Linked DNA regions of Arabidopsis thaliana. The protein of the gene in region 1 purifies or fractionates together with the protein of each later gene. This does not show direct contact. Each region holds a gene or a part of one and is shown on either strand. Other genes may lie near its edges.

The links.
Region 2: the proteins of CHR38 (region 1) and NRPD1A purify together in Arabidopsis thaliana (affinity purification with mass spectrometry; 2 studies listed by BioGRID, with this or other methods). This does not show direct contact.

What each region holds. Positions count from the first base shown.
Region 1 is NC_003074.8:14,755,151-14,762,008, forward strand, and holds CHR38 (chromatin remodeling 38), read right to left. Parts: upstream 4,936-6,858; coding exon 4,887-4,935; intron 4,773-4,886; coding exon 4,540-4,772; intron 4,444-4,539; coding exon 3,028-4,443; intron 2,924-3,027; coding exon 2,780-2,923; intron 2,691-2,779; coding exon 756-2,690; 3' UTR 648-755; downstream 1-647. Other genes in the region: AT3G42660 (transducin family protein / WD-40 repeat family protein), read left to right, coding at 1-62, 159-551. UniProt on the Arabidopsis thaliana protein: Probable chromatin remodeling factor. Required for the initial establishment of DNA methylation and for accumulation of 24-nt siRNAs.
Region 2 is NC_003070.9:23,359,300-23,364,182, reverse strand, and holds the start of NRPD1A (nuclear RNA polymerase D1A), read left to right. Parts: upstream 1-1,695; 5' UTR 1,696-1,746; exon of another isoform or gene 1,747-1,879; intron 1,880-1,990; 5' UTR 1,991-2,035; intron 2,036-3,043; 5' UTR 3,044-3,056; coding exon 3,057-3,140; intron 3,141-3,223; coding exon 3,224-3,344; intron 3,345-3,441; coding exon 3,442-3,563; intron 3,564-3,643; coding exon 3,644-3,682; intron 3,683-3,769; coding exon 3,770-3,988; intron 3,989-4,064; coding exon 4,065-4,217; intron 4,218-4,305; coding exon 4,306-4,401; intron 4,402-4,451; exon of another isoform or gene 4,452-4,481; coding exon 4,482-4,883. UniProt on the Arabidopsis thaliana protein: DNA-dependent RNA polymerase catalyzes the transcription of DNA into RNA using the four ribonucleoside triphosphates as substrates. Largest and catalytic component of RNA polymerase IV which mediates 24-nt short-interfering RNAs (siRNA) accumulation.

The DNA.
Region 1 (6,858 bases):
TAACACTGGTTACCAAACTCAAGCTTCCTTTTTTGGCAGAGAAATTCAGCAGCATACTCGAGGTACTCTACAAGTACTTTCATTTCTTATATTTTGCACAAAAGAGAAGAAAAATTAGATACAGACGTAATGCTAATTTTTTGGTTCTTCACTAACAGGAAAGGTTGCTTGAAGAAGCTAGCGAGGCGGCGGTAACAAATCCTGCGCTGAATCCAAACGGAGAAGTAGTTACAAGAGTTGAATCCAAGGTCCAGAATCCTCCAGCTTCGATTCAGACTAGTGAAAACACAGAAGCAGTTATGAAATCTTCTGCAACTAAGCTATCTGCTCCTACACTTCTAAAGAAATCGAAAGTTTCAGAAGGTCTAAAGCTGGGAAAAGAACAAACAAAGAAAGACAAAAGTGACGATGCGAAGATAAAAGAGATAAAGAAATTGAATTTGAAGAATCCGGTGAACAATGTTAACAAGGAAGACAAGGGACAGGAAAAGGAAGTGAATCAAGGAGAAGCTCGACGTTCTTCAAACCCGTTCCTCAAATCAACTGTTTAATGATCTTATTTGGAGGTTTTGTTTTATTTAACAAGATTATGATGAATACATCTGTTTCACTTTATTAAATATTATGATGCTATAGCTGAATGATTACACAAACTTATGATACAGGATTAGTTTATATTACAATACAACAAGCTGTTAAAGAATCATCATCAAAGGCATGGTGAAACAGAAACTTGAACTGGAAAAATTCAGCAATCAGCCACCTGTTGAAGCTTTCTCGTTCTTCATGATCATATGGAAGGATTTGACTTTGTCTTCCTCCACGATTTCTCTAAGAACATCGTCCTCAATCTTCTCAGCTTGCCATTGAGATGGGTCCTCCACAAATTCTTCACTGAAAATCATACTGGAGACCCATTCTTTCCAGGTCGTCCTCCTGTATTTGTCTTCTTCAAGTGTTCCTCTCGACAAGAGCTGGTAAACGTACACCACTTTCTGCTGTCCCGGTCTGAATGCACGTGCGATTGCTTGCTTTGTCTTAGAAGGATTCCACTCTGAATCAAGCATGATCACCCGTGAAGCAGCGGTTAGACTGATGCCTTCTGCACAGGCTGTAATCGAAGCCAGCAGAACACGGGACTGGCCTCCTGGCTCTTCAAATTTGTCTATTACTCTGCCTCTTTCAAACAGCTCGAGATCCCCTGTCAAGGTCAGGAGCTCTCGGCCTCTCTTCCACCTGAATACATTCTCGAACAGCTCAAGAAACAGGCGGATCGGCGCAATGTTGTGACAAAATATGAGGATTTTCTCCCTCTTGACCACCCGGAACACAAGATTAAGCACAAACATGACTTTTGATCCTTTCTTTGCATCGTGCTTGAGCTTCTCAATCTCTAAAAGCTCCTGAGGGTTGAAGAATTTGGCGCAACAGGTTGTGGTTTTGACCAACCAAGGATGGATAGCAGCTAACGTTATGAGTAACTCGAGCTCGAGTGGATATCCATGGTAAGTTGACATTATGTTCTGAAGTTTGGTAAGACTCTTGTGCTGTACATCAGTGGAATTCATCAACAATGTGTAAATCTGCAAACCTGGGAGAACATCACCACTTCCGCTTCCACTCCCTTCATAGTTATCGATGAAACCACTCGTCATATTCCTCAACATGTTGAGACCCTGCAAGCGCTCATCGCCCACTTTTGTGTCAATCTTCTTGGCTATAATGTCAAGGAAGAACTTCCGAGCTCTATTTTCAAGCAAGTGAGGCGCCTTTTGCTCGGCTTGGTTGGTCTGGAACTTCTTGTCCAACTCCACTAGAACCTCATGAACAAACTTGGGTCTAGCCAAGCACAAAGTGTTGAAGTACTCACAGAAGTTGTTCTGAAACAATGTACCAGAAAGCAGAATCCTCAAGTCAGTATCAACTTTCATCAAGGCCTTTCGTAATCTCGACTTGGTACTCCTCGGGTTATGTCCCTCGTCTAGAACCAGTAATCCAGGAGACTCTCTCAGTACTTTAGCCATGTACTTTCTATGAGCAAACTTTGAATCTTCCCTCATCAAAGTTAGAAACGATGTGTAACCCATTACAAGAACACTCGGCTGTGCATGCCATTTCTGGATTTTGTCTAAACAGTCAAGAACATGCATAACATCTTGGCTTGGTTTTGGAATTCCCTCGAACTGAATGGTCTTCTCTTTGGACATACAGTAGGTTCTACGACCATGGAGCAAGTGAACAGGGACCGGAATCTCCCATTTGATGAACTCCTTGTACCAAGTGTACAAAGTTGTTTTTGGAGCAAGAACCAAAGGTCTTTTACCCGGAAATATCTTCAAGTAGCTCGCGAGAAAAGCTATGATTAGAAATGTTTTTCCTGCTCCGGGAGTATGAGAAACTACACACCCACCTATCTTATCTGAACTCGGATCCATCATCGCGGGAACCACTGACCCGGCTAGGTTCTTCCAGAGAAACTCAAAAGCTTTTTTCTGGTGCAAATGCAGTTTTCTCTTAAGCTGAGGTATTAAAGACCAGACATTGTCACTTTCTTCAGCCGATGGCATATCTGAGGAAGCAACTGGTATAGTGAAAGTATGGCTCTCAACTCCATCTTGGTTAACTATAGTAGTATTAATGTCATCTTCGTTGATTTGCTTAGTCTCCGTCGTCCATTTCTTGTGCCGCGCCTATCGAAAACCATACCACCAAAATATATTACAAGTAACTCATCGAAAGTAGGTGACAAAATGTTGTCTGGTATAGAGTTTCCACTTACAAAAGGTGCAGAAACATGTTTTATCTCAGTTCCTACATGACCACACAATCTGCAACACATTCCGATTTCTTCATTCAATTCATAGTCATGTTCACAATCACAGGTTGCTTTATGGAACGCCTCGTTATCCACTCTCACCTGAAACTTCAAATCAAACTATTAAACATATAAAAATGTAAGCTCATGGTCATCAAGAATGTTTTCAGGAAAATATAAAAAGATTTCCAAAAGGTATATATATATATAACCTCATGGTCATCAAGAATGTAAGAAGAAGCCAAGCATAGTTCCATTTCCCTCCATAGAATCTCATTCTCTGAAGTCTCGCCATCATCCTCCTCCTCCTCACTCAACCTTTCTTCGGCTTCGATCGAAAAGCTTGCGGGGTTCTTTAACCCTTGCCACTGCTCAACAACATTGGTTGCTTTGTCCTTGGCTGCAATTGTAGAATCAATTCTACTCATGTACGAGTCTATCAACTTGTTATACGCACCTGCGCTCAACGTTCTCTTCTTATAAATCTGCGGTTCCTCAGAAACTCCGGTTTCCCTAGAAACGGACCTTATTCGAGAATGCGGTCCATTTCTTTTATGAACCACATTCCCAATAGGTCCATTCCAACCTAGATCAGATTCCATCTCTTCCATTTCAATCTTCTTCTTCTTCTTCTTCCCGTATTTCGCTGCTTTACTACGATACTTATCGATCTCATCCATCAAATTTCCAGAGACACCACCACACAAACTATTTGCATTGAGACCAAACTGTTCCAACGGTATAGGTTCAAAGACAGGAGTGAAAGGAATAACCGAAAGCTCACAACTTCGACTAAATCCCTCTGTTTTCTTTCTCTTCTTCCTCTCAGTTTTGTCTACCAAAACTATCTCTCTCTGCTTATCCTTACTAAATCCCTTTTTGCTTCCTTTCTTTCTAAGTAAATGCGATAACGGTAAGTATAAATCATCATCAGTATCTTTATCATCCTCGCAATCTTCTTCTTCATCATCATCATCACTTGAAACATTCCATATGTTGTACCTATATGGCATCATCCTTACCCATCCATCCTTCGAATCCGGCTGAATCTCAGAGTCTCCGTATCTCTCAGGCCGCCCGCTTCTTCTCTTGGACCGACGCAGCTCCATTACCTCCTCTTCAATCTCCTCCTTTACATCACTATCTTGACAAGTATCCTCAGCTGGATTGAACAAAACAACCTTAGACATGACAACACCGTCTTCAACCGTAATGTTCATTGCACTCAAAGAGCTACTAGAGCCTTCGCAATCTTCATCCGTCACAATCTGATAAACCATCTTCTCGTGAACGGTTCTAATCTGAAACACAATGTTTTTCAAAACTGATGTAACAAGCAACCATGTAAGATCAGGCAAGAACTTCCCTAAGTTTAGTCTTGTTTTCACCAACGAAGAACAGTCCTCAGAGTATCTCCATCTATAGTAACGGTCCAAGCTTTGTTCCTTGCAAAACTTTTGAAGGATGGCGATTTCGTTGAGTCCCACGAGTACCGGAACTTTATTCATTCTATGCTTCTCCAAACCAATGCAGCCTTGGTCTATATAAACACTGACATGGAACGTACACAAGCATTCAGATTCATGAGGCTTCCTCTCTATAGATAAAACCCTTGCATCCACCCAAACCTACACCACCACACACACACACACACACAAAACGTTTCAAAACAGCAAAAATGCGCATAGATTTAAAGACTTTCATATTGAAGAAAGTGAATGTACTGGTTCTGGAGTCTCTTCATCTCTCTGATAAAGAACGCAAACATCGATACCGGGTCTTAAAAAAGAAGTACAGTCGATCAAAGTCGCCTTTCTTGATCTAATTCGAAGCCTCTGAAATGGTTTTATATCATCCAAAACTTGTCCATTTTCTAAGAGACGCATTGTCATCGTTCCATTCTCGATCCTTAAGTACTCCACGGCCTTCCATGTCCCCCAGCAGAACACCTCGAAAGCTACCACAACAGACAAAACAGAGCATTTTAGGTAAAGAAACAGCAGTCATTCAAATCTCAATGCATGACATTTTAGGTAAGAAAATAAAACATCAGATCTTGTAAAACACTTACGACATGGATTAAATGGATGGTTAAACTCAAAGTAATGCTTTCTCTTCATTTTTTTCTTTCCCTTCAAGATCACTTGTGGATCCACATATGATCTCCTGTAACCAATACATGTATAGCTTCATTAGGATTCATTCACCACTTGACAAATAAAAAAAAGATTCAAACTTTATCTGCAACTAGAGACAACCCAGAACATATATGATATATGAACTTTAAAACTTGATCATATTGGTTAATGTGCGAAAGCAACATTATTGTACTAAAAAGGTGTAAAACAGAGTAACAGTGTCGTATCAAAATGAAAAACGAAACATGATCGTCATCAACAACAAACAAAACCCAGATTGAAAAAACCACAACTTTATGATCAGAACACAAAATCAATATATCACCTTTGAGGGAAAAAGAGAGTTGATTCTAGTCCATGATTGACACTAAGAGGAAAATAAGAGAAGGAACAAAATATGATAAATAGAAAAGGGACGGCGAAGAATTCAATACCACACTCACGCAGAATCTTGGGGACAGTGTAGAACTTTTTATTTTCCCTTTTTGCATGAATTTGCGCAGAATCGATAAAAAGTGATAGAGAGAAATAAAGAGAGACTGAAAAATAAAGTGAGAGAAGAGGAGGGTTTAAGGAGTGAGGGTATTATTGTCATTTCCATGTACGTACTTCTTTATATGGGAAATAAACGGCTGCGATTTGGTCTGTCTTTACTATCTTTAGATTTTACTGACACAAAGAGTAAAAGCCAAGTTGTGTGCATGGTGGCCTATTGGGTCCACATTGAGATAGGTTTATAGGGAAAATATCTTACACAAATTCATGAACTTAACATTTAGTTTGCACAAAACAAAAACATTTACTTAGTTTGTTTTTTAATTATTATACTAAAATTAGTAAAAGATGAGTTTTTAATATGGTTTTGATATCAAAAAAGAAACTTTTATTTTTATTTCAAGATTCTAAAAGAAAATATCATTTAATATTTTAAAAAGTAGTTAAGGGTAACGGTGAATTGCTGTATTTTCTTTACTCCATTTCTAATTTTTTTTCTCTTTAGTTTTTTATTTTTCTGTTTAATATGTTGGAAGATCAAATATCTAGTTTTCTTTAGTAGATTTCTCTATTTTTGTTTATATTATTTTTCTATTTTATTTCTGACTCTTTTTTTAATTGTTGTATCCCTTACAAAGTTAATGCAAAACTGTTTTTTTTTCCATTAAATCAAACAAACACTAAAATATATAACATTTGGAAATGTAAATGATAGAGTTATTGTAAATCGTTGGATATGTAATGCTTTTGAACAAGGTCTATGTGAGCTTTATCTTATGCATAAAATATGAGTTGTTACCAGAATCTGCCTTAGTCACAAGCTAGGGAAGCATGTGTTTACGGTATAAGATATAGTTATTAATTAACCGTCATCTATTTTCCAAATATCTCTTATAACTATACTGGTTAATCGTTGGGTGATAGAACAATAGGTAGTAGGTTCAACTCTTACACTTACAAAAATGTTTTTTTTTTGATATGATTAGGCCTTTTTTGCTGGTGGCACTCAAAATGTTTTGGGTGGCTATGAATGTTCCATGATTTGATATGGATAGTAAAATATATAATGTTTAATAGAAAACTTTACTTAAATATCTTTTTCTCTTTTTAGCTTTAGCAACAGCTCTCACTAGAATCGAAAAGAAAATTATAAAATTTAGAGAATATATAGAAACTAACCTAAGACTCGAAAAGAATCAACGAAATAACCTTTGACTAAATGGACACTATTTGCTATATGTTTTTTTAAGGGTTTTTGGTTCATCTTATCCTTTTATTATCTTCTTCTTTTTTTTTCTTGTTTGTCTGCAACATTATAGTCATTCTCTCTCTAGATATCTTTTTCTTTTACTGAATCTCATCACCACCACATTCCTTTTTTCCTATCTTCCTCTCGTTGGATATGTGATT
Region 2 (4,883 bases), on another chromosome or scaffold:
TTGTCAAACTCAATAATAGTTTTTCTCACAATTTTATTTATTTATTTCTGGCATTATAAATAGTTTTATTAACTAGACTACCCCAAATGTTTACAGTTTATAAGGTTAATAAGAAAATTTACTGGGACATTTTTAAGTCTAGTTTATTCTACTACATGTTTTTCAAAACAAATACTCATTTTGTTTTAATTTAATTATCATTTTAGCACTTAAATTTAATCTCACAATAATTATCGTTTTTAGTTTTTTAATGCAAATGTTTAATAAAAATGTGAGTATTAATGTCTTGACCAATAATTTTTTTAGAAACTATATTGAACAAGGGTAAAGTAGAAAATTTAATTGTTTTTTTTTATTTTCACTGCAAAAAATCTTAAACGACAAATAATTTTAAACAAAACTATTTTAATAACTAACCACTAAACTAACTATATAACTGTTTTACAAACGAAAGCGTGAACTTCACGTAAACAAAAATTCAATTTCACGCCGCCGACAAAAAACCTTAAACGACAACTAATTTTAAATAGAAGGAGTATATTTTAGTAATAATTATATGTTAAACTGTTTTAATAAATAACCACTAAACTAACTATGTAACTGTTTTACAAACGAAAGCGTGAACTTCACGTAAACAAGAATCTAATTTCACGTCGCCGACAAGAAAAACTGATTTCACTTATATATCTTGATTTATTAATGGACATTCACATACTCTCAAATAAGATTCTAGATCTTATAAATTTTAATCTATTTTTGTCTCAATTAATTTAGTTATTTATCACATTTCGCCTCTTATAAAATTATATGATAATTGTCTAAGCAGCTAACTAATTGTAATTGTTTTTCAAACAAAAAATATATTTTAATTACACATAATTTTTTTATCGAACAAAAATATATTTTAACGAAATATAAATGTTTCGAATCAAAGATAACAAATTTATAGCCTCAACTATACGTAAAACAAAATTTTATTTTACATATCATACTTTGATTGATACTAACACAAACTTCACAAATAAATTCGTATAATTATGTAATTTTAGATTATTTAGAGATTATAACTAGTATTTAGAAAAATCGCAAAATCATATAAGAAAAGAAATGGAATTTGTTTTTGGTTCAAATTATATTTTTTTTTCCCGCTATTCATATTATAGTTATGAACCAAAAATCAAGCTAGAAATAAAAACCACTAGGATTTTTTTTTTTTGCTAAGATGAAAATTTAGTTATACACTTATTTTTATTTATTTAAATATTACATTAAACTAATAAAAAGTATTAATTATTCTAATAACTTTTTGTCAGTTTTAAAATTAGGCCAAAAGTAAAAAACTAATACAGCTAATATAATATACTTAAGGAAGGATATTTCAACTTTTTCTTTTCTTCCCAGTTTCAGAGTTTATACAAATAAGGTAAAATTCGCAGAAACAGAAAATCATAAAGTAATTAAAATAATACAACCGAGGAAGTAAAAAGATTTCCAAAAGGTAAAAGGTGTACTCGTAAAGTAGGTAAATAGAGGTACAGGTCAAGGGGTAGTTTCGGTATTTACACTCTTTCTTCTTCTTTTTTTTTTTTTTTTGGTGTCTCACATTCCAAAGTCCCCATTGGACTTAGAGAAGAGTTTTTTTTTCGTTTTCTCTGCTTTCTCACTTTTTCCCGTTTCCTTTGGGAATACAAACGGCGGCTTCTCAAAAGCCTCCGATTTCGATTTTTTTTTCCTCTCTTTTTTTTTGTTCTTTCTTTAGAGTCTCTTCTTCAACTTCTTCTCCGGCATCTTCCGTCGGAGCTAAGGATCAGAAGTTTTTGTCTGTGCACTGTTTCAATTGGATCATTACATAGTGAGGATTCTCTGTTCGACGAAACGAGTAAGTAACTACATTGTTGTTCTTCCTCAATTCTCTTCTGGTTTTTCTTTCGTTTTTTTTTTTAAAACCTTTTTCGGTAATTTTCTTTTTATCTCTTTGAAACAATTTGAGTTCTTTTTTTTTTTGATTGATCACTGTGTCTGATTCCTTATCACGGTTCTTTTGTTTAAATTTGATCGATCGTTGTCTTTGAACTCCGATTTTGTTTCTATGAACTTTGTTTACTTTGGATGATTGTGAAAAGTTAAGTACTTTGGTTTATGCATGTTCTTATGAGAAATCGATTTCTTTCGTTTAGAGATCATCTTAAGGCGGCGAATGTTTTTGCACTAAGGGTTTGTGTGAGTCCTTTAGAAGAACATTTGGAAAATTTGTCCTTTTTTTTTTTTGGTCAGTGAATTTTTTTTTTTTTAATCCATGAATAGTGTATGTTCAAAGATTGAACCTTTTTGTGTGTATGTTCTGCAGTTTTTTTTCTTTCTTCTTTTTCTGAACATGTATTCTCTTATTTTTTTGGGTTCATGCTAGATTCTATTAGTAAATTCAATTTCGAATCTATAACTTGTTTTTGATAGGCCAGTCACAGAGGAAGATTGTGGTAACACTTTTGTCCCTTAACAAAAGTGTCTGTTTCTCTTTGGTCAATTTTTTGATCAGAGAGAGTTTGCTTTGGTTTTTGTGTTCTGGTCAATGAAATGCTAAAGATTGGTTTTTGTTTCATATTCTGCTGCACATTAGATTTGATGATAGAGGGTACAGATAGAAACTGATCTTTTCGACGATTTATCCGTGAGTTTTAGCTCTGTTTTATGTTACAGAAGTAAGTGTTAATTTTCAATAATGTGTGTTCAAAGTTTGAACTATTTTGTGTGTTCGTCAAATATTTTTGAGCTAGAATCTTCTTCCCTGAACATGTTCTCTCTTTTCTTTGGATATATGCTAGATTCTAAGTGGCCACTCACAGAGATAGTTTGTGAAGTTGTCTGTTTCTCAGTGGTTAGTATTGGTCAGAGCGAGTTTTTTGGTTTTGTCTGTCTAAATGCTAAATATTGGTTTTGTTTCATATTCTGCACATTGGAATTGGTCACTAAAACTTGCTTATAAAAACTGATGTTTTTACTTACGTATCTAAATTTTCCTTACTGATGGTTTTTTTTCTTGTAGGAAACTCTTCAACATGGAAGACGATTGTGAGGAGCTTCAGGTTCCCGTGGGAACTCTAACCTCGATAGGTTTTAGCATTTCAAACAACAATGATCGAGTAAGTGTTGTCCTTATTTATTCTTCTTGATTTGTTTATGAGTAGATGGAGCAAATATTTAATGTAATGGTACTTTATTATAGGATAAAATGTCTGTGCTAGAGGTTGAAGCACCGAATCAGGTGACTGATTCTCGGCTAGGATTACCGAATCCGGATTCTGTCTGCAGAACCTGTGGCAGCAAAGATCGAAAAGTTTGCGAAGGTATCATAAAGAATCTGGTTTTGGCAAATATTGTTCCAATCTTTTAGCTCATTTTATGATTAGTTCCCTGAGTTTGCTACTTTTCTCTCTGTTTTAGGGCATTTCGGGGTTATAAACTTCGCGTACTCGATAATAAACCCGTATTTCCTCAAGGAGGTAGCTGCGTTGTTAAACAAAATCTGTCCGGGGTGTAAATACATTCGAAAAAAGCAGTTTCAGGTTCACTAGTCTTTCCAAATCCTTTGTTGGTTTGTGTGTTTTGGAACTACATATACTAATGTCATTTTTGCTTGATATAGATTACCGAAGACCAGCCTGAGAGATGTAGATACTGCACTGTAAGAATATATGATTGCAACTAATTTTCTCAGTTTAAAACTTTGTTCCAACACTAATTTTCGGTTTTTGTTGTTGTTATATATCAGTTGAATACCGGTTATCCTCTAATGAAGTTTAGGGTAACTACTAAAGAAGTCTTCAGGCGATCCGGAATCGTTGTTGAAGTAAACGAAGAGAGTCTGATGAAACTCAAGAAACGGGGAGTGTTAACATTGCCTCCTGACTATTGGAGTTTTTTGCCGCAAGACTCTAATATCGACGAGAGCTGTTTGAAACCAACAAGGCGAATAATAACGCATGCACAGGTATAGAAGAGTGAAATGTACCATCTCCATGACTTCTTACTATATATAGTTTTCTGAAAATTTCACCTTTTTGCAGGTTTATGCTCTGTTATTAGGGATTGATCAGAGGCTCATCAAGAAGGATATCCCTATGTTCAACTCTCTTGGTCTGACATCTTTTCCTGTTACACCAAATGGTTACCGTGTAACCGAAATAGTTCATCAGTTCAACGGAGCTCGGCTAATATTTGTAAGCTAAAAACGCTTGTTTATATAATTTGTTATCATATACTATGGTATTTCTCTTATCTTTTCGAGTTTCTGTCACATTTTTGAAGGATGAACGGACTCGGATCTACAAGAAACTAGTCGGCTTTGAGGGAAACACACTTGAATTGAGTTCTCGTGTGATGGAATGCATGCAATATTCCAGAGTAAGTTAGTGGTTCCTGATAGATTTAAACTCTTCTTTCTGTTCTGTGAAGGTTAGTAGTATTTCTTGTTTTTTGCACAGCTCTTTTCGGAAACTGTGTCTTCGAGTAAAGATTCCGCAAATCCGTACCAGAAGAAGTCTGATACACCAAAACTTTGCGGTCTAAGGTTCATGAAAGACGTGCTGCTCGGTAAAAGAAGTGATCATACATTCCGGACAGTAGTTGTTGGTGATCCGTCCTTGAAGCTCAACGAGATTGGCATACCCGAGAGTATCGCAAAAAGGCTTCAAGTATCAGAGCATCTCAACCAGTGCAATAAAGAAAGGCTTGTCACTTCCTTTGTCCCCACACTGTTGGACAATAAAGAGATGCATGTGAGAAGAGGAGATAGATTGGTGGCTATTCAAGTCAATGACCTCCAAACCGGAGACAAAATATTCCGGAGTTTAATGGATGGAGACACTGTGCTGATGAACAGACCG